Stegostoma tigrinum: one gene and its partners. The protein of the gene in region 1 interacts with the protein of each later gene in a biochemical or structural test. Links are inferred from orthologs where the notes say so. Each region holds a gene or a part of one and is shown in the gene's direction. Other genes may lie near its edges. The genes, in order: DNA endonuclease RBBP8-like, klhl15 and atm.

Region 1 (7,525 bases):
CGTCTATTTAGGATCCCTGTAGCTGAGATGCCTGACCTTCCAACAACAACAGCTGTCTTCCCAAGCGTCAGGTCTGACTGCAAACAGTGGAAAATTTGCCGATTGATTTAAGCTTTGCTACAGCTCCTTGATACCACACTCCACCAAATGCAGCCTTGATGTCAAGGGCTGTCACTCTCCGTTCACCTCTGGAATTCAGCTCTTTTGTCCATGTTTGAACCAATCTTGTAATGAGGGCAGGAACTGAGTGGCCCTGGTGGAACTCAAACAGTGTGTCACTGAGCAGATGCTGCTTGATGGTACTATGAGTGATACTTTCCGTTGCTTTACTGATGATCAAAAGTAGGTTAATGGGATGGTAATTGGCTGGTTGAATTTGATCTGCTTTTTGTGTACCATACACATCTGCACACTTTTCTACATTTTCAGGTCGGTGCCAATGTTGTAGCTGTACTTGAAGAGCTAAGTAGGGAAGTGTTAATTTTAGAGCACAAGTATTATAGCCGGAACGTTATCAAGGCCTGAAGCCTTTGCAGTATCCAGTGCCTCCAACTGTTTCTTGATATTATGTGGAGTGAAGTGAATTGGCTGAAGACTAGTATCTGCGCTGATGTGGACCCCAAGAGGAGGCTGAGATGGATCATCCACTCAGCACTGCTGGCTGAAGATTGCTGCAATTGTTTTAGCCTTATCTCTTGCACTGATGAACTGGTGTCTTCCATCATTAAGGATGGGAATATTTGTGGAGTCTCCTCCTCCAGTCAGTTTTTAATTCACCATCATCATTGGTGGACTGCCGAGCTTAGATCTGGTCCATCTGTTGTGGGACGGCTTACCTCATTTGCTGCTAATATAGTCCGGCCTGCATATAATCCTGTTTGGTAGGTTCACCAGGTTGACACCTCATTTTTAGGTATGCCTGGTGTTGCTCTTGTCATGGCTTCCTACACTCTCCATTGAGCCAGGGTTGATACCCTGGCTGAATGCTAATGATTGAGTGGGGCATATGCCAAGCCATAAGATTGCAGATTATGCTGGAATACAATTATTTTGCTGTTGATGGCCCACATATTCTCAAAGGTGCCCAGTCTTAAGTTGCCAGACTGGTCCCACTTATAACAGTGATAATGCCACACAACATGATAGAGGGTAAGCAGGACCTCATAGGACTATGTGGTGGTCAGTCTTACCAATACTGTCATGGACAGATGCATTTGCAGCCAATCGATCGGAAAGAATGACGTCATGTATCTTTTCCCTCACCACCTGTGGCAGACTCATTCTAGCAGTTACATTATTTTGGATGTGACCAGCTCAATCAGTAGTGTTGCTGCTGAATCCTTAGTGACGGAGGGCAGTATGTGGTAACTAGCTGCAAGTTTCCTTGCCCATGTTTTACCTGCTGCCCTAAGACTTCATGATATCCAGAGTCAATGTTGAGGGCTCCGAGGTCAACTCTATCCCAACTGTATACCACTGCGCCACCACCTCTGTTGGGTCTGTCCTGCTGGTGAAACAGGACATATGTGATGATATTGCCTGGGACATTTACCACATATGACTATGTCAGGCTGTTGCTTGACTAGTTTGTGAGACAGCTCTCCCACTTTTGGTACTTGTCCCAGCTGTTAGTCATTGGAACTTTGCAGTGGCACTAAGGCTTGGTTTTGCTGTTATCGGTGCCTGGGCCAGTGCCAGATGGCCCGTCCCTTTTTACTTCATGGTTGAGAATTCATAACAATTGTTACAACCGAGTGGCTTGTTAGGCCATTTCAGAGGGCAGTTGAGAGTCAACCACATTTCCACAGTTCTGGAGTCACAAGTAGGCCAGACCAGGTGAGAATGACAGAATTCCTTCCCTGAATGTGATTACTGAGCCAGACGGGTTATTTTTCAACAATTGGCAGTGGGTTCATAGACATCAAAAGATTCTTAAAGTTTCAGGTTTTTGTTTATAACATTCAAATTCTGCTGTCTGCCGTGGTAGGATCTGAACCTGTTCTTCAGTACATTAGCTGTGTTTCTGGATTAATTATCTCGTAGTAATATCACTCATTGCCTCACATCCATCAGGTCACTTCAATTTTCCTGAGAGAAAGGATGTAGTCCAACATATTTTTTCTAACATGTAATGTCCAATATCCTGGTCCAATAAGGGCTTTGGATAGCAGATTAACATAACTGCATAATTTACTCCGCTTTATGTATGAGTTACATAGCAGTCCTCACTTTTAAATATGCCGCCATCACAATGAACAACTGTCCTACAGCTGCCAAACAAACCATCATCTCATGTCAGAGTCTACTCTGCAGGACTGTTTACTGTAACACAATGATAATTGATTTTATTGATCTACACTGCTACCTAATTACAACTTTCCATCTCAGATTAATATGAGGTTGCTTCAAAGCACAAGGAACACATTCTAATTTTGTTTTCTTTTACTTCATCAGCTGTTGAGTTAGGGACCTGTCAGCAAATATTCGCATTTACATTTGTGTCTCCCATGGTTCAAATCTTATCATACTCGGCTGTGGAATCATAGGCTGTACCAGAGAGTTAGTCAGAGCCCTTGGCTAAGCTTTCATAACAGAAATGAAGGGTTGGTGCACTTTTAGAGATCTGTGTTACAGATAAGGTGTTAAAATTAGTCCTTGTCTATCATTATGAGCGAGCTTAAAATATTCCACATTGTTATTTCAAAAAACAGCAGATTTTATATACTGGCTAGCGGTTACCTCTTAAACCAACATGTAATAATGGGAAAGGTTATCATTTTGCTTCGGGAAATTGCTGTGTTCAAATTGTGTGCAACGTTCATTACATTTCTATGCTTCAAAAGTGCTCAGTTGGCTGTAAAATGGAATTGGGATGATGTTGCGAAAGATGGAACCCATGATGTGGAGGTGCTGGTGTTGGAGAGGGGTGGGCAACGTCAGAAGTCACACTACATCGGGTCATCAGACTGCACCTGACGAAGAGGCCGAGCTCCAAAAACATGTGGGATTCCAAATAAACCTGTTGGCCTATACCTGCTGTCATGTGACTTCTGATGTTGTGAAAGATATTATAGAAATTGAAGTAATTTCCTTTTTTCTTTGAATTCATTTGCTTAAACAAACTGAAATTTGAATAGGAATGTAGTTATCTATCTGCCAAGATTTTCTATTTAGTAAAATATGGTTTTTGCTACAGTCATTTGTTGTTGAGGATTATTAATCATTTCCATAGAAATACACTAATTACGAGGAAAGAGAAAACCATGTCAAGTTGTGAGTTGATGCATGATGTTATAACTAGTTTTCGCCAGGAGGTGGTGCTGATTCAGCTTTGATTTTACAGAACTGCAAATTTCTCCAAGTTGTGCAAGTGCTCGTGTTAGACTGGGTTGGAGAAAATCAAGAGTCACACAACACTAGGTTACAGTACAACAGGTTTGTTTGAAATCACAAACTTTCAAAGCTCAGCCACTTCATCAGAAGTGGGAGAGAAGAGCACGCAAACACAGAATTTATAGGCAGATGCATCAAGGGCAGAGAGATCAAAAGATCATACAACTGGTATGCGTGAAGTTTTGAGTAAGAGGTCCTGCAGGAGACCATGAGTGTTGGGTGACAGGAGTGAAGTGCCAACTGCTGAATAGCAAGTGAAAGGATAACCCAAAACCTGATTAAATGGGGTGGAGAGATAATTTCAAAACATTAAAAATAAGCCAAGCTGAAACTGATAGCCAAGGTCTGTACCCATGAAGACAACGTCAACTGTGATCTTGGGTTCATGTTGTGTCACATGCGACCCCATCACACAGCTCAGCATCTGTAAAAACCTTCCTTACTGTGCTGTTTTGACACCATCACCTTAATAACTTATTATGATCGCTCTACCTTGATTAGTTTGTTCAGTTTTGATTTACTTATTACTTTGGTCAGACCATTGGCGTGCGATTCTTACACCTCTCATGCTGTTCCAGTCATTTAGTTTGTCTCCCGTACCACCTTATTTTTAATTTGTTTAAAAATTCCAGTCATTTTCGATATCATTTTGTTTATACAACGTTATGTAACATTCGATCGGCCTTGGACTAGCATAACGTTTCCAGAACATGTTTGACTACGTTAGATAATCTGATGTTGGAAGGAGGGTTGACCATTTGTCAAGCTCTGATAGGCGGGCCCTCCCATATTGGGGCGGGGACCCAGCAGATAGGCGGGGTCAATTCCAAATAAGCCGGGCATGTGGGCGGGCCTCTCGATGGGCTGATCACCCCACACTAATTGGCGGGGCCTTATAGCGGGGCGTTGCCTTTCCTACCGACGGGCGGTGACTTCAGTCACGTGCTGGTCCTTATTGATTGACAGCTCCCTGCCATTGGGGCGGGGCCACGTCGACGTGCGGCGTTTTCCGTACGGACGGGCGGCGCCCTAAATGGGTGGAACCGCGCCCACTGCTTCTTCGCAATGGTTGAGATCGATGTCACTCACGGGGATTTTTTTCCCCCCCACCCATTTCCGGCAGCGCAGCCTGCCGTTGGGCTTATTCCCGCGTCATTTCGAAGTTTGTGTTTGAATCGGGAGTTGATCCTGGCTCGAGCTGCGGAGTCGCTCGCTCAGTGACGGCCGAGTTCCTCTCCTGTGCGGCGAGACTGAGGTGACGAGCACTGTCGTGAGTGTGAGAATACGGGGGCGGATACAGGAGAGGGCGGCCTAGAATTCTCCAGAAAACCTGGAGAAGGGAAAAGGTGGAGAAGTTGCTGGTTAAAACGGAGGCAATAAGTGAGTGAATCAGGAATGAAGAGAGTGAGGGGTGGGAACACGCAGATAGCTTTTCCAATAAGCTCCTTTACGGTGTGTTTACATCGGTGTCTAATCGGTGGTCTGGTACATTCTTCAGGTTTACCGTGAGTGCTGCCGGTCCTCACCGGACGCCTCAGAACTGTCCTGGTGCGGGAGGCGGCCATTCAGTCCATCGTGCCACGGCTGGCCCAATGAGTTGCTGCAGCGGGGCCTAGGATTCAGGCAAGACGTTCGTACTTGATTTCATAAGATCCACGTTTATTGTCGCCGTTTGCACTTTCCTCCAGTGCTCAGCTGAAGTGTTTAGAGCAATATTGAAAGCCTGGGTTTATTTTTGGAGGATGAATTCAATTTGTAAAGTCAAGTGCAATCTAACTGCATTGCATTACTGGTTTTATTGCGGAACGTGCATCTATAAGCATGATGCTCAAAAATGTGTGCTACTTAGTGGTTTTGTTTTGGAGTAAAATTTTGTTCCATCAGAATGAACATTGCAGGGAGGCAGTGCTCTGCATTAGATCATGCAGCTGTGATTTCTGCTTTGCCACCAGTGTTCTAATGAGGCTACTTCTATACAGCAAGCAATCTTTGGTAGTTTCCACAATGGACTCACTTTGCCTCTGTTCTTGAACACAGTAGTGATGGCAGCATCGCTACGATTGGCAGGGGTTTCTTCTTTGTCCCAGATTTTTGATGGAGATGACAGGTAAGCTCTGCCCCTCCCAAGTCAAAAAATTCTGTTCGAATCCCATCTACTACTGCAGCTTTTCCATTCTTCATATGTCTCATGACCACTTTAATTTCTTCCACATTAGGTGGGAGTCCAGGACCGTCTTTGGGGAGTTTGTGGGATTTCCTCAAACACATCCTCCTTGATTGTATCGAAGTTTATATGTTCTTTGAACTATTCTGTCTGTCGGAGGCTTATGTATTTTGTGTCTCAGAAGTGTTCCATCTGTACTTCGTAGCAGTTTGACACCTTGGTGTACAGTCATTACATTGTTGTAGTGGCACTGAAGAAACCTGGGTGCTGTGCTTGTCAGCAAGGAGTTGCATTTACTTAGCTTTCTCAATCCTCCATTGGTGGTTCTTTGTAATTCTGTCTTTTGCTGTTTGAGATCCCTTCTTTGCCTTGCTGGTGATGTTTTGCCAGGCATAGAGAGCTTACCCCTTGATGATGAGATCTTGGATGATGTGGTTACTCTCATCAAACTATTCTTGACGTTTCCTGATCTTGCAGCCGATAGTTTATTTCACAACATGAGGTGATAGCTGTCTTCAGCTCTTTCTAGATTTCCACAATTCCATTGAAATGAGCTCTTTGGTGATTTTTGTTGAAGACATTATTGGAAATTTGCTAGTCTGTTTGGCTGTTGAAGGCTTACAATGTTAAATATTTTAATAAACTGTTTCTTTGTCTTCAGCTGTTTTCTGGTGGCTTATGATGGATGTGGAGGAATGTATAAGCCGGTGGTGCAGATGGCTGCTTGAAGGACCAATCATCAGCTTGGTAATGACGATGTCCCGTTGTCATCATTCAGTCCCAAGACCATAGTCGATCGTAAGCCAGCACTTTAATTGCGTATCCTTCAAGAGGCTTCGAAATTGTCTTTTTGGAGGAACAGTGCATTGATGAATAACAGCTGGTGTTCTGCATTTTTAATGAGTCGGAGAGTCCCCCTGGAATGGCACTCCTCGACTTCTTCCTTTTTGAGTGGTCTCTTTCCAGAGCTCAGGGTCCTTTTTACAATTCTGGTATTGAAGTCTCCAAGCAAAGTAACTTAATATTCCTTTTAGATGTTGCTGAGTATGGTGTTCAGGGTAGAGTAGAACCTGCCTTTAGATTCCTCTATGGCATCAAGGTTTGGAGTAGAGACACTCAGTTGCTTGCTAGTTCTTGGCAAGTTGGAGACAGTCATGAGGTGATTGATGCCAACGGTGAGCTCTTAGAGTTGATTGACAAGTCGTACTTGATTGTGAATCCAATTCCATGTGTCCTGCATTGATCCTTGGGTTTCCTTTCCAGAAGAAGCTGTAACCTTTTCTGTCAGCTGCCCTTCACCTGCTTTTTGAATTTCCTGCAGGGCAGCAATATCAATGTTGAAGTGCCGTTCATACATTCCAGATTCCAAGATTGAAGTTGACTTTGGTTCTTCAGGCTGCAGGTAGATGAACCCACTGGATGTCGTTTTCCAGCCGGGTTGATGATGAAGCAAACTATGTTTCAGGCACTTTATCTAGCCCCCCCTCTACGCAGGGTGAGCAAAATAAATGCGAACAGAGCTGCTCACTTGTGAAGAAAACTGCCAAAATGCCCTTCTATTCCTGGCCCATATGTCGGACTGTGCCGTCTGAAGCTGGGAACTTCAAGATTTCTCAGTCCTGTCCCCATCGTGTCTCACCGATCGCGGAGGTTTGTCTGTGTGTCCTAGATAGATGCCCTGTGTAGGACATCTTTTAACATGGGAATGCCATTGCATTATCAGCAGACACGTGGCCCTTGACAGAGGGTAGATCCAGCACTCGTGGCACAGGGACCTCAGTCAACCCGGTCTGCTCCATGAGCAAATAATTCATGGTTAACAGAAGCAACACCTCCACTTACACTGCTTCCTTGCTGTTAGACATTTTGCTGCTTTCCACATCTATGCTACAGCATAAAACTATTCTGTGAACTGTTTTGTGAGGTAATTTTTGAAAATCTGTCTGTCCCATGCACTGCTTTTTCACA
Region 2 (7,306 bases), on another chromosome or scaffold:
GTTGAAAACCAAAAGACCTGCGGATGCTATAAACAGGGAACAAAAACAAAGTTGCTGGAAAAACACAGCAGGTCTGGCAGCATCTGTGAAAGAGAAAACCGAGTTAATGTTTCAGGTCCGGTGACCCTTCCTCAGAACTCAGCTACATAAGTTGCTTCATAGCAGAATTTCTCCGAAAGTTCCAAACCATTAATTCAACGATGGCAGCAGGGTCAGTCGCTCCATTCAGAGCTTCACTCTGCTCGCCAGTTCTGTTTCTTTGTCCATCCTTTTTTTTCCTCCCTTCTCTCTCCCTCTGGTAGTAATTCTATTCCCCCGCCACCCGTTTTAACTGCCTACCTAAGGAGTTGGGAAGGAGCTGGGTCACGACTGAGAACCACGTGGCGGGAAATGAATGTGTTAGTTATGTCCTGCGGCGACAGAGAATCGAGCATGGGCCAGAGCGATAGCGGCAGCCCAAGACTGGGCTGGTGAGAGCGGGCCAATGAGGCAGCCCAGTTTGGGCTGCTGGCGGAGGCCTGGAGAGGGCTGGAAAGGCCTAAGTGGGTCTGCGGCAGTGCAAGGGAAAGTTGGGACTCCCTTAAGTTATCTTTTTTATTCTTGTCTTGTTCTGAGTTCAGGTGAATGGCGCCATGTATGTACGGTGTAGGTACACACTTTTCACTGCATTTTTCCATCGAATACGTGACAATTCAATTCAATTCGATACCATGATTAAACAGTTTTGTGCTATAATTGTAAGTACCTTTATTAGTTGTCGATAAAAGTTCAATAAAATGTCTTGTAACTGTATTCCATACCCCCTCCCAAATATGTCACATTTGTACAACTTTAAAAGAAAGGAACCCATGGACCGCAGCTGCCGCATGGTTCTCATTGTACCCTGTGGCCAGACAGAACCAAGCGTAGAAAGGTTAGCCCTTGCCACCAAGCAGTCATCCTCAGGTTCACCTTAGATTAGATTAGAATAGATTCCCTACAGTGTGGAAACAGGCCTTTCGGCCCAACAAGTCCACACCGCCCCTCGAAGCATCCCACCCAGGACCATCCCCATGGTCAGAACAGCTGATAAAAGCAAGATAAAAGCACCGTGGCTGCTGCTAGGAGACAGAACAATTAATCAACATGCTGTAATTTTCATTGTCACATTCCAACTACACATAAAGAGAGTGTAACTCATTCTGCTTTCAGAACAACTCTCTGGTTATTGGGGCACCAACAAAAAATAGGTGCAGCCTCTGACTCCTTGCACTATTAGAACTCCTTCTACCCTTGCAAAGTCACAAGTACACTTCCCTTGATAATAAAATGTGAGGCTGGATGAACACAGCAGGCCAAGCAGCATCTCAGGAGCACAAAAGCTGACGTTTCGGGCCTAGACCCTTCATCAGAGAGGTACACTTCCCTTGCTACTCTCTGCTTCAGCAGAATATGATGAGGCATCTTCTCCTGTGTAAGTGCCGTTGGTTATGTCCCAGACCGAGAAACGTATGAAGAATTGTGAGGTGTTGGAAATGCAGCCGGCTCCAACATGCACAGGGCAGCAAGGTGGCATAGTGGTTAGCACTGCTGCCTCAGAGCACCAGGGACCTGGGTTTGATTCCAGCCTTGGGTGACTGTGTGTTAAGTGTGCATGTTTTCCCCATGTCTGCATTGTATTTCGGACAGTAGGAGGAAACCGAGTAGGTGGATTGGATGTGTTAAATTGTCCCAAGGTATTCAGGGATGCACAACTAAGTGGATTAACCAGGGTAAACATGGGGTTATGGAGTGGGATGCTCTTCAGGAGATTGGTACAGACTTGATGGGCCAAATGGCCTCCTTCTGAACTCTATGATTCTAACCTAGAAGAATTTGGAGGCGTAGAAACTGAAGCTCTGAAAGGGATATTCTTGCCATGCCCATTTCTTTCTTCAAAGAATATAACCACCTCAAAGACACTGCTTCTTCTGAGTTTGCGTTAGCAAAAGTTGTCTCTGAATAACAGGTAGAACAGTTTTGGTCGAGGGGTTACAGTCACTTTTAACTTGAACAATTTGTGACAGCTCTTCCTATGTAATACTTCCAATAATTATACAGTAGCAAAAGCAGCTCCCAGAGAAGTCAAATGTAAATCCCTTTAAACGGCTGTTTGGCAGTCTCTGGACTCCTGTAGCTCCAACACCCAAATGGGAAAGTAGGCTGTGAGTTTATCTGTTATATTGCAAATCACATACACCAAGCTCACAAGCTGTGGCAAGATATCATACACTTAAATGCATATAAACAATTGTGGGTAAAATAAAACAGAACTGCAGATGCTGGAGATCTAAAACAAATCAGAAATTGCTGGCAAAACTCAGTAGGTCTGGCAAAATCCATGGGAGGAAAGCAGAGCAAATGTTTCAAGTCTGGTGAATCTTCATCAGAATTTCAGTGGCAGAATCTGCCAGGCCTGCTGAGTTTCACCGGTAGTTTCTGTTTTTGTCAACAATTGTGGGGTTTAGAGATATTTCAAAATTAAAATACTGAACATATCGGCACCTGCTACCGGAAGGGCCTAACATACTGAAAATAAGACTATAGGGTATAAAACTAGACCAAACGTCACTGCCCCAGCACCAGGTCCTGCCCACTATCATCCCTGTGATTGCTGATACCGTGGATCTAGGTTAAGCAAAATCCTAATTTTAAATAACATCCCAAAGAACTGCAAAGCCCAGACAGGGGCTCTGGCGGAGGTACGGCAGGGGCTGGAAAGCCCGGAGCGGGACTGCGGCAGTGGAAAGTTGGGATCTCTTTGGTTATTTTTTTCCTCGCTTATTCTAAGTTAATGTGAACGGCGCCATGTACGTACGGCGAAGGCTCAGCGGTTAGCATTGCAGCCTCACAGCGCCAGGGACCCGGGTTCAATTCCAGCCTCGGGCAACTGTCTGTGTGGAGTTTGCACATTCTCCCCGTGTCTGCGTGGGTTTCCTCCGAGTGCTCCAGTTTCCTCTCACAGTCCAAAGATGTGTAAGTTAGGTGGATCGGCCAGGCTAAATTGCCCATAGTGTTCAGGGGTGTGTGGGTTATAGGGGGATGCATCAAGGGGCGGTGTGGGCTTGTTGGGCCAAAGGGCCTGCTTCCACACTGTAGGGAATCTAATCTAATCATGTACTTTGACATTGAACGTACGTGACAATAACTGATTCAATTTGATTCAAGACAGAAATTGCTGAAAAAAGGTCAGAAGGGTCAGTCAACCTGAAACGTTGACTCAATGGTTTTTCTCCCTGATGCTGCCAGATCTGCTGAGCTTTTGCAGCAATTCGTGTTTTGATCCTAATTTTAGTTTTTCTTTCTTATTTTTCAAACCCTTGTGTGATCTTCCTCCATTGTCTATGAAGTGTCCCCCAGCCCAACACAACTCTCTGGGATATTTGCACTCAATCAACTCTGGTCTTTTTGAACAAGGCAGACTTTCACGGCCCTGCCGGTGTGAGTAACGTCTTCACTTGTGTGGGACCCAACAAAGGAAATCCCTCTGCAAACCCTTCTACTTCGAAACTCTCCACTCTTGTCCAATACTTTCTTTGGCCTTTTGACAGAATTTTGCAAAACGTCCCTGTCAATCACACCAGGAAAGTTCCACCACCTTACAGGCACAGTAAATACTAGTTCGACAGCAAGTGTCGGTGTCCGAAGGCTCGGTGTTTGATTAGATCAGATTAGATTCCCTACAGTGCGGAAATAGGCCCTTCGGCCCAACAAGTCCACACCGCCCCTTGAAACATCCCACCCAGGTCCATCCCCCTGTAACTCACACACCCCTGAACACTGGAGGCTTTCCCTAGGGCCGGTGTTGTTGGCCAGGGCAGGTTTGGGGGGAAGGAAAGATGGAACCAGCAGGCCCACTCGATCAACCAGACACTGCGGCATGCCGCCCCAGTCCCGGGGAATTAGTTTCCGGGCTCAGGTCAGAATTTGACCCGCGATACACCGCATTACCCTGAACTCCCATAAGGCGGCCTTTAACCAGTCACTCAGCACCAGGGCCAGCCCCTTTCGACATCAGCTCCCGCTCTCACCACCTTCCGCCGACTCAAAAACCCACAGCGCACGGCGTACACTCCAAGCCCCGCCCCCAGATCCCGGGGGGAGGGGGGAACGACCCTTACGCGGAAGCTGTTCCCCGAAGTTTTGAAGGGTCTGGCGGAAGTGACGTTGGTGGCCCTGGCCGGTGGAGGAGAAGATGGCGGTGGTCGGTCGGAGTTGACGCCGAGCTTCGGGGGTGGGTTGGGGGGGGGGAGGAGACGTGGAAAACACGGCGCTAACCCCGTTGGCGGCCAAGTGCTGAGGGAGGAAAGAGCGCCGGGGTCCCCCTGCTGAGCTGTTTTCAAAAGGACTGTGAATGCGGAGTGGCTGCTACTGATGTTGGTGAGTGTGAGGCACCGACTGGGAATTGATGCTCTTCAGGGCAGGTCAACGGGCCGCAACTTTAAGCTTCCCAGACTGCCTTCTTCTTTTCGCCTATCCTGTAGGCACCTGTCGCCTGGAGCGTGAGCCCGAGGATGCAACACAATCCTAGCGTTAGAAACTCGACTTTATTCATAGAAAAAAATACTTCAGTTTGCTTCGCGTATCTTCAAGTGAAAGTTACTACGATTGGTCTTCCAAGTCTTTTTACTTATAAAGTTTTTGTACGTAGATCCAAAGTTGTAGTGGCAGGCGAAGGAGGAGATTCCATTGGGCTCTGACATTAATTATGGGACCGCAACTCAAGAAGGGTGGTCGGGGTAAATCAGGAAACTACTGGCCAGTGAGTCTAACATACGTGGTAGGGAAATCATTGGCATCATTTGAGGGGTAGAATTAATCTCCAAATGGAGATGCAAGGATTAATCAAAAATAGTCACTCTCTTTTGAACGTTTTGAGCACATGACGAGATGTGTCGGTGAGGATAATGCAGTTGTTATAATCTGCGTGGATTCACTAAGGCTTTTGACAAGATCTCACTTGACACACTGGTTAAGAAGCAAAGAGCCTATTGGGATCCAGGTCAATTTGGCAAAATGGATCCAAAATTAGCTTAGTGGTAGAAATCAGAGGTTGATGATTGAAGGAAGCATGTGTCCTGTGTTGAATCGTGGGGTTTGGAACTGGGTTTCCTGCTGTTTGTTGTGTGCATTTATGATCTTGATATGAATGTTGAACGTAAGATCAGTAACTTTGCAGATGACATGAAAATTATGTGTCAAATGGGAAGGAGGAAAGCCTTAAACTGCAGGATGATATAGATGAGCTGGTTAGATGGGGTAAACAGCAGCCAAATGAATTTAATCCTGAAAGTGAGGTGATATATTTTGGCAGGACTAACAAAGTAAGGAATAGAACCGTAGGAACTACAAAGATCAGCGAGATCGTGATGTGCATCCCCATAGATCCTTGGCAACTGGACAGGTACATAAAGTGATGAAGAAGGCATTGACAATACTTGCCTTTGTTAGTGAAGGCATTGACTGTAAGAGTAAAGAGGTTACAACAAGAGTATTAATTTGGCCACAGTTGGAAGACTACTTGCAGTTCCAGTCATCACATTATGGGGAGGATGCAATTGCACAACAGGGTGCAGAAGGGCTTCACCAGGATGTTGCCTGGGTTGGAACAGTTCAACAATTAAGGCATACCAGATGAGCTAGGGTTTTATTTCCCTTAGAGCAAAGGGAAATAAGACTCAGGAGGAAATGTGATTGCAGTGCACAAAGTTCTGAGGGGCATAGACAGGGTAGATAGGGAGAAACTTGACCACTTCAAGGGGTCAATAACCAGGGCGCACTGTTTTAAGGTAAGATCAAGTGTTTTTGAGAGTATTTGTAGGAAAAATAATTCAACCAGAGTGTTGGAGATATTTGGAACTCACTGTCTGAGAAGTGATAGAGGTGGAAGCCTTTGAAACATAAAAGAATAATTTTGTTGAACACTCAAAATGCAATAGCATACAAGGCTATGTGCCAAAATGCTGGAAAGTGGGTTCGACTAGATGGATGCTTGTTGACTGGTGGGGACATAGTGGGCCTCTTTCCTTGCTGTAAAAACGCTGATTCTGTGTTGAAGTTATGTTAAAATTGCTAGTATATTAACTGGGATAACAAGACTTTCAAAGAAAAAGTAATGTATTTAATATATTCAAAAATTTTGTTTTTTCTTTAGAAATGCAGCAAAGGTTTAGATTAGATACAGAGTTGTAATTTCTAATTTTTTTGATCAAAGGTGCAACTTGGCATGGTAATAACCATATTTGCAAATTTTGTATATCATAGCTTGTTTTCCCTTTTAGATGACGAGGAACCCATTGTTTAGAAAAGTATTTAGAACTGCAAGTCTTAAGATTGCAATATCCTGTAAATTTTGTTGTGTGTCACACTTGGTGTCTTTAAAGTCCAATTTTCCATGCTTTTTGCCCTGGGCAGCTAGTTCTATTGAACATGCATAAAATGCAAAGCAGCATTTTTATTCTTTTGTGGCATGCAAGGGTTGCAGGCATTTGTTGTCCATTCCTTGAGAGCTTAGTGGTGAGCTGTCATCTTGAATTGCTGAAGCCGATATGGTATACTTAGAATTCGGGTCATGGCAACACCCTGAGTTTTTGACCTAATGACTGTAACAAAACAAGAATATGGTTCTAAGTCAGGATGGTCCCTGACCTGAAATGAAGCTGGCAGATGCTGATGTTTCTAAGTACCTGTTGTCCCTATTCTTGTAAATGGTGGGTGATTGGCAAGGGACTATAGCTAGTAGCTACTGCCACCACAGTGTGCCAAGGATAGAGGAGATGAATGTTTAGGGTGGCAGCAGTGGATTGCCAATCAAGCAGAGAGCTTCTTATGTTGTTGGAGTAGCACTCATTCAGGCATATGCTGTGTATTCTGTCGCATTCTTGATATTACCCAGGCATTGATGTGATATGAACTCTTAGCTTCATATGTGGTCCAATTGCTATTATACTTATGTAATTGGTTAGTTAAGTTTTGGGTCGCTGATAACACCTAGTCCAGGTCTGAATGTTTTCCACATTTTTGTTGCATGCAGGCATAAACTGTTTCAGTATCTCAGGAGTCGTAAATGCATTTGAATGTTACGCAAACAACCAGCATCAGCGGACAATCAACTCACCATGACAGCAACTGGTGGGATGTTTTCCTGATGTGAATTGACTTTAATTTTCTGAAGTCTCCTTGGTCACTTCAGGATACAGCAGGATCTAAATCAGATGGGCCAATTGACCGAGGAGTAGCAGATGGAGTTTAATTTAGATAAATGTGAGGTGCTGAATTTTGGAAAGAC
Region 3 (7,727 bases), on another chromosome or scaffold:
TTCAATGTTGTGCCGACCTGTCATACCGATCTGAAGCCCATCTAACCTACACTATTCCATGTACGTCCATATGCTTATCCAATGACGACTTAAATGTACCTAAAGTTGGCGAATCCACATACCATTGCAGGCAAAGCGTTCCATTCCCTTACTACTGAGTAAAGAAACTACCTCTGACATCTGTCCTATATCTCTCACCCCTCAATTTAAAGCTATGCCCCCTCGTGCTCGCCGTCACCATCCTAGGAAAAAGGGTGGATAGGGAGAGCCTATCTAACCCTCTGATTATTTTATATGTTTCAATTAAGTCACCTCTCAACCCTAAGACTTAAGACAGGTGATCATCTGCTGCACTCCTTCTACAGCTAGTAGATCTTTGGTTAGGTAAGATATGGCATACAATGTTGTAGATTCGGCCTCATCAGAATTCAATGCATTTGAAGTATGACTTCTTAGCTTTTGTAATCAAATCTTTTTGCGATAAAGGTGAACATACGAGAAGGATGACAGAATCAAAAAAAAATCTCAAATAAAATAAGTAGGGCAATAACACGCCTGTATGATATTTCAATCCTTTTTTAGTCAAGTATAGCTCATTGAAGGACAAGTGCAACACATACTCCAAACAGTGGTGAAATACCAATAAACTGAAAACGACCTAGTTGTCTTAACAGATCAACCAAAGAACAGCAATCAACAAAGCAGATAGACAATCGCTCATTTTTGGCAAAAAAGGAGAACATAGATCAAGAGGAGGAGGAATGGCCAAACTGTACTCTGCCTTATAGTGTCTCAAGTTCTATATCCGGCCCTGATCATTGATAATGAAAGAAGAAACTGAAACAGCATGAGATGGAGTACAGAATGAGATCTTGAAAGATGAAACATGGGAATCTTGGGTTTTTAAACTTGAAAAAGGAATGTGTGAAAGTGGATCTTTAGAAGCAGGAGATCGTAAGAAAGTGGAAGAGTTTAGAATATTAATTCAAAAATAAAGAGGGCACAGGTTCAAACTGGGAAAAATTAATGACTTATAAGGATACTAATTCTTCACAGAGTGAACCTTTAAATGGTGACAATGTAGCAAAATGCACCCTTGAAAAGCTGCAATTTTCAACTTAGGCTGTCTGCACACATCAAGAATTTTCCCACCGAGATAAAAGGCACAGGTTAGCTTTACACATTCATCACAGACACATCCTGCTTGAACACATGGGCCCAAGCAACAAAAACTGAATCTTTATCCATCTGAGGATTGTGTTGAGGCCTGCTTCAACCCTTTTTTAAAAAAATGTGGTATTGTAAAATCTAGTCTTCTGATTTATCACATGGGAGCTCTGCTTGGAGGTCCTTAATGGGCCTTTCAATCCCACCAATACTTATAACGCAGAGAAATTATGCATGCAATCCATACCAGCAAACAAGCAGGCACCACCCCATCCTCGGTACTGTGTTCGGCATACTCCTTTAGATCTCCACTTTCCAATATAAAGGTTCTGCAAGTATTAGAAAGCTTTTCTTGCTGCAGGTATCCTGTAAGAAAAACATAATAAAGTTCAGCTTGTCATTGGCCAATGCAGGAAGTGACATTTTAAAATATAAGCTGCTGCAAACATTTTAGCAGTTGAAGAATTAAGCAGAGATAGGAGGAACTGCAGATGCTGAAGAATCTGAGATGACAAAGTGTAGAGCTGGATGAACATAGCAGGCCAGGCAGCAGAGGAGTAAGAAGACTTTGATGCTGCTTGGCCTGCTGTGTTCATCCAGCTCTACACCATGTTATCAAAGAATTAAACATAGGCTTTTACCATAAACAGATGCAAAGGAAGTTCAGAATCTTAACCAAAAATCACAGGTTTTTCAGCCATGATTTTGCTTTGTAGGGAAATTCCCCTTTTGCAAATTGTGATAAGCTTCAGCAAATGTGCTTGTTTAGTGCGGCAAGCATTAGCAGACAAATATCTGTTTTTCAAACAAGGGAAAAAAGTATCATTCCTTATGTATCACACACTGGAACACTTGTTTGGTAGATCAGGTGGACAACATTCAGACGGAGTACAGCAGTTGGTATGATTGTGTCATCATGTATCACGTTATGTATGCAACTGATGAGTTACATGGGATGTCAAATTTGAGATATGGGGACAAATACTTCCATTAAAGTAAATAATGATTTGCAATGATGCTAGGCTTTCTGAAGGAGGAAACGTCTGGCTGCTTGACAGCAAGCTGTTACTAACTGCTGCAATTCCATCATGACCCCACGACTCCTCCAACAACTATCCCATCTCTGCCTTGCTCGCCATATCCCAAGCCTAGGCAAGACTTAATAACTGATAGTTACATAACATATTTGCGTGATGCTAGAGATTTGAGAAACTCACTTCTGGATGTTGAGGATTAAAATTCTACATTAAACAAATCTTGATTGTGAGCTATACTGCTATGCATTACAACAGAAATCATCATTTTACAGGGCTGCATTAATTCACTGGACAATGTGCCATTATCATTCATTTTAAGTACATTTCGTAAGCCCTTTATGTAAATTATCCACATATCACTCAAATAAAAGGCTACTCCTTCACTTTCTTTCCTATAAGCATTTAAATAAGCACAACATTTTTGTATTCCATCTGTGTGACCTGAGAAAAACATTTAGCCATGTAATGATACTTATTGTTCTACTTAACTCATAGCACACTGGTGAAGGGCAACTTGTTTCAGTTATCCTAAGAATGAACAATCTACTGTATATTAAAATATAAAAATATACATCAATTTCTTCTGCTGTGCTCTAGTTTTGATCATTAAAAACATAAATGGTTGAGAGTAGGCTACACAATTCTGACCCATTTTATTCGTTCTTCAATAAACAATTCGAAGCCTTTATTTAGTTTCAATAACATACACAGAAATTTAACATGTCTATCTTGGTGCATGAGTCTAGATCAGCAACTATAAAAGCATTAACTCAGTGGTAGAACAATCGTACACCTACAAGTCAGAAAATTCTGGTTCAAGTCCTATTCCAGAGACATAAGTGTACAATCTAGGCTGGTACTTCTTTCTAGAGCTATAGGAGTACTATCTTTTTCCAAGTTGCCAAATTTCCAATGAGATGTTAAATGGAAGTTCCACCTACCCTCTTACTTGAACATAAAAGATACTAATATTTATATTTCAGCTAATATCATTAAAAACACTGTTCATCATTTCCAGGACTTGAGCACGCACATTGTTTGATACATAGCTTGGGTTATAGTAGTAACTACATTCCAAGCACTTCACAATATAAATCCTCAAAATCCTGCATTTACAGAAGAAATTAACATGAATTGTTTCTTTTGTATACTGTATTTAAAGGACAATAACAAGTGTGCATTTTTCCTTTGTAATGAGTCAACTATAAACATACAGCTATTTGCATTAGTTATACTTTCAGACTATGATCGGGGATGAGGTACTACCTTATATGTTTTAGCAACTACGCTGTTTACCACATCAATCATGAAGAGTGTCTGACATCTGCCTAATGGAATGATTACCAATTAATTTTCAAGGCCAATTAATAATCACCATTTTGGGTTTAAATATTTCACATTGAATGGAAGCTGAATTTTTTTCATGAAAGAAGACAGCTTCAGAGCAAGGAAAAACAGACATCAAGTGAACACAGCCAAATTGTAGAATCAATAACTTGATAACTGATTCCAGCAGCTCCACAGCATCCTAGGATAAAACTAACTTGTAAGCAGCCAGTGTGATTCATTAATGGAATGGGAAGGATGATGGTTTGAAATTTTTTGTGCAGGATTCATTGTAAGTATTCTATCTTTCTACTAGGTAGAAAATTAGCATACAAAAACAAAATAATTTATTCCAAGCCTTAGGGTGTTATTCACACACAATATCCGCATTAAAAATAAATAGCAGTCACGATGTTGCTGTCCATTCTTTGCAATTGATGTAAAATGTCTGCTGAGGCAGATTAAGAACAACCACATTCACGTTCTAAAGTCACATGAAGCAATGTCAACACAATGTCAGAGATAGCTGAAGCTGTCAAGCACAGATGACACTGAGTTGAGGCAAAAGGAAAAAGTGAATAAATATCCAGTCGGAGAACCAGACACTCGCAAATATAATTAACCCACGGTGGCAGACCCAGTGTAGTACTGGCTGCGATTCAACTGTACAACAGAAACTTTGAGTAAGTTACCACTAAAGGTTGCTAATTAAACGGCCTTCGACAATAGGTATCTCTAGATGGAGCGAGTGATATCCCACCCACTTGAAGCTGCAAAATACAGTACTGCCCGCCGCCGGTTCTAACGCCTTCCCAATCAGCGGCCCAGCACCGCCCCAGGGACACAGATGGCCCACTGGACCGAGTGTCCAACCCACCTACCCAAGACAAGCCGCGCTACGTCTGACGGCAGCAGCATGTTCACCGAATCAGCCCCTGGAAATGAGGAGGGAGCCGTGAGGAGCGGCCGACCTTCCCTCGCCGTTCGCCGCTCAACCACATTAGATGCCGGTCCTCCAGCTGAAAATGGCGCGTAAAAACAACGCAGCCCTTATCCCGCACCAGCGTCCGGCGGAAGTGAGGCGACAGGTAGATTGCAATGTGGGAGTTGTAGTTTAATGAAACGAGTGGACTACAAGCCCCGACAGCCGCATGGCTTCCGCGCACGCGTATGGATTGATGGAGGAGGCGGGGTGGAGGTCAATTTGTAGATCGGTTCAACGTTTCAGCGGCGACTTCTCTGCAACGAACTCATGGCCTGGGCTCGAGTTTAAATGAAGTTTGATTCGGACCCAGAGTGGTGTGCGGATTTTTATTACTGTGAGTTCTGGTACAAGGATGTTGCTTGACCGTGCTGCGGACATGGCACGATGTTTGGCGGCTTAGAGGTGATTTTCTAAATAAACCAATCCTGGCGTATCCTCTTATCCATTATCGCCGACTCACGCAGTTTGATTCGCTGGGATGTGATGAGTGTTTCCCGCCAAGCGGAAGGTCAGCATAGACGCTGATTATACGGAAACATTGTCCGCCAGCCTGTCTGGATCATTGCGTGGGTCCTGTATGACTGATAGGTCCCATCTGCAGGCTCTGCCATACTGGGCAAGGTAACAAAGTGTGAGGCTGGACGAACACAGCAGGCCAAGCAGCAATCTTAGGAACACAAAAGCTGACGTTTCCGGCCTAGACCCTTCATCAGAAAAGGGTCAGTGGTGAGCCGGCCTTTGCTCGGTGAGACAGATGGAGGTTTGTGACCACCGTCTGACTTCACTTCTGCACATTCCTGACGAAAACTCCCGAGGCATTCGGTGCCCTCCCCAAGCGACCAGTCATTCACAAGCCAGAACAAAAACAAAGTTGCTGGAAAAGCCCAGCAGATCTGGCAGCGACTGTGAAGTTCTCAGGAAGGGTCCACCGGACCGGAAACGTTAACTCTGATTTCTTTTTCCTTCAAAGATGCTGCCAGACCTGCTGGGCTTTTCCAGCAACTTTGTTTGTGTTCCTAATTTACAGCATCTGCAGCTCTTTCGGTTTTTATTCACAAGCCAGAGACTGACTCAGGCAACATTTAATGGAGATGGTGGAAGGAAGGGGTTCTGAGCTGGTGAGAACCACGTGTTGCCTGTTTTACGGGAGGCTCACCATACTCAGTGCCACTTAAAACCTTAACTGGAAAAGAACAGCATTCCATGGGGTCAAGGATCCCGAGGCTGCTAACCCTTTTGACCCGCAGAATCACTGGGAGGCAGAGGCTCCTGTCCGCCTGACAAACACTCAGGGTCGGATCAGTGCTGGATCCCAGGCCACAGGTGAAAAGTCGTATACCATGGATGCTGGAAGTCTGAAATGAAAACAACCAGAAAAACTCAGCAACTTTGACAACATCTGTGAAAAGAGAAATGACATTAATGTTTTGAGATCAAGATGACTCTTCGTACAAGAGAATAATGGTAGGAAAGGGGAGAAGAGGTGTCTTTTGCCATGTCCCCCACCCCATGCTGAGTTCTACAGGCACTAAACTTGCTTTGACAAAGCATTGATTGATTTTGTCTTCAAGCATAGTGTTATTGGAATGGATACTCCCAGAAAAGTAAAAGATTTGTACTGAACAGAGGACAATGTTGGTAGTGATGCAATAGTAATTTGGAGTTTGTGGCTAGTGGTGACTTGAGGCAAAATGATTTCTTCAGACTTGGCATCAAGCCAAAGTGTTCTGAAGCTAGTGCAAGTGATTAACAAGCAACTGAATGTCTTCTGAGAGCATAGTCATCTGCTAACAAGTGTATGCCTGGCAGCTATTTATTGTTGTCACATGTACCTAAGCACTAAAAGGTTTTGTTTTGTAGAGTTTAGCAACCTTTGTGTAAACCTGGAGTCTTTGCAAGTTGATGGCATTACAGTCTGCCCTGAATTGAATGTGTACTTCTGTGTCAGAATCTTTGAGTGTGTCCTGCAGCGTGGCTGAGCAGTATATACAGAGAGTTGGAGTCAATACCTTGCTTGGTGATTTTGATGACAAGAAAGGCATTAGATGCCATACTCATTTGGATCATGCCATTGTAAAACCAGTGAATGACATTGGTCATCTTTTTACAGCCATATTTGTATTGAACCTTCCATAAATCTTCCCAGTTTTATTTTGTCAACAGTCTTGTTCAGGCCAATGAACGCTGTAGCGAGGAGGATATGGCCAAAAGACAAGAATAGAAACACAAAACTAGCAGTAGAGATTACTGATATTCTGAAGTATATCACTGAAGATTCTCAGAAAGAATTAATGGATTTTACTTGAGGCACAATTTCTGAGTTCCATTTGTTAAACAGAAGGAAGAAGACTGGCTGAACAACAATGACCAAGACATTAGCAAATTTCTAATGAAGTGCACTTATCTCTCAGATCATGTATGTCTATTGCAAATTTACCAACCAAGATTGCCAGATGCCATTGTATAAAACACTTGCTGCCAAACTAAGAAAGACGAAGGACTTAGAGTCAATGAGGAGTTCACAGGTACATGGATGGCAGTTTCAGGAAGTTGGACACACTGCAGATACAGTTAGGAAGATGGTTGACTACTAGGAATGGTAGGAGAGATAGCAGGAGTCTCCTATGGCTACTCCCAGCTCAAACAGGTATGCCATTTTGGATATGGTAGTGGGGAGGTGTCTTCTTAGGGGAGTATAGTACTGACAGCTAGGTTTCTGGTACAGTGACTGGCTGTGGTGTATAGAGGGGTATGTCAAGCTTCAAGTAACGGGTACTTTAGTCTGGGGCTCAGACAGTCTTTCAGCAAGACGTCAGGATTGAATGTTACCTTCCTGGTGTCAGGGTCAAGATGTCTCAGAGACAGTGCAGAATATTCTAAAAGGGGAGAGTGATAAGCAGGAGTCATTGTGCATTTTAGTAGCAACAACATTGGTAGGGAAGAGGATGAGATTCTGCAGAAATAATATAGAATAGAACTGCAGAGGAAACTAGTAGAAGTTTTAAAAAGTAGGTCCTTCAGAATAGTAATATCTGGGCTACTACTGGTGCCACGTACTAATGAAAGTAGGAATAGGAGGATAGGATAGATTAATGTGTGGCTGAGGAACTAGTGCAGGAAACAAAGATTCACATTTTTGGACCATTTGGGATCTCTTCAGGGATTGAAATAACCACAATAAGAGAGTCAGATTCCACCTGAATCAGAAAGGG

What was found.
Region 2: the proteins of DNA endonuclease RBBP8-like (region 1) and klhl15 form a complex in vitro, tested with the Homo sapiens proteins (2 studies listed by BioGRID, with this or other methods). The link is inferred for Stegostoma tigrinum from reciprocal best matches to the Homo sapiens genes RBBP8 and KLHL15.
Region 3: of the proteins of DNA endonuclease RBBP8-like (region 1) and atm, one has a biochemical effect on the other in vitro, tested with the Homo sapiens proteins (4 studies listed by BioGRID, with this or other methods). The link is inferred for Stegostoma tigrinum from reciprocal best matches to the Homo sapiens genes RBBP8 and ATM.

The regions. Positions count from the first base shown.
Region 1 is NC_081358.1:19,880,545-19,888,069, reverse strand, and holds the start of DNA endonuclease RBBP8-like, read left to right. Parts: upstream 1-4,500; 5' UTR 4,501-4,648; exon of another isoform or gene 4,649-4,773; intron 4,774-4,891; exon of another isoform or gene 4,892-5,023; intron 5,024-6,337; exon of another isoform or gene 6,338-6,355; intron 6,356-7,525. UniProt on the Homo sapiens protein: Endonuclease that cooperates with the MRE11-RAD50-NBN (MRN) complex in DNA-end resection, the first step of double-strand break (DSB) repair through the homologous recombination (HR) pathway.
Region 2 is NC_081365.1:61,183,604-61,190,909, reverse strand, and holds the start of klhl15 (kelch-like protein 15), read left to right. Parts: upstream 1-4,282; 5' UTR 4,283-4,392; coding exon 4,393-4,398; intron 4,399-7,306. UniProt on the Homo sapiens protein: Substrate-specific adapter for CUL3 E3 ubiquitin-protein ligase complex.
Region 3 is NC_081359.1:70,469,681-70,477,407, forward strand, and holds the start of atm (serine-protein kinase ATM), read left to right. Parts: upstream 1-4,716; 5' UTR 4,717-4,917; intron 4,918-5,023; exon of another isoform or gene 5,024-5,136; intron 5,137-7,727. Other genes in the region: protein NPAT, read right to left, coding at 1,415-1,533, 4,412-4,448.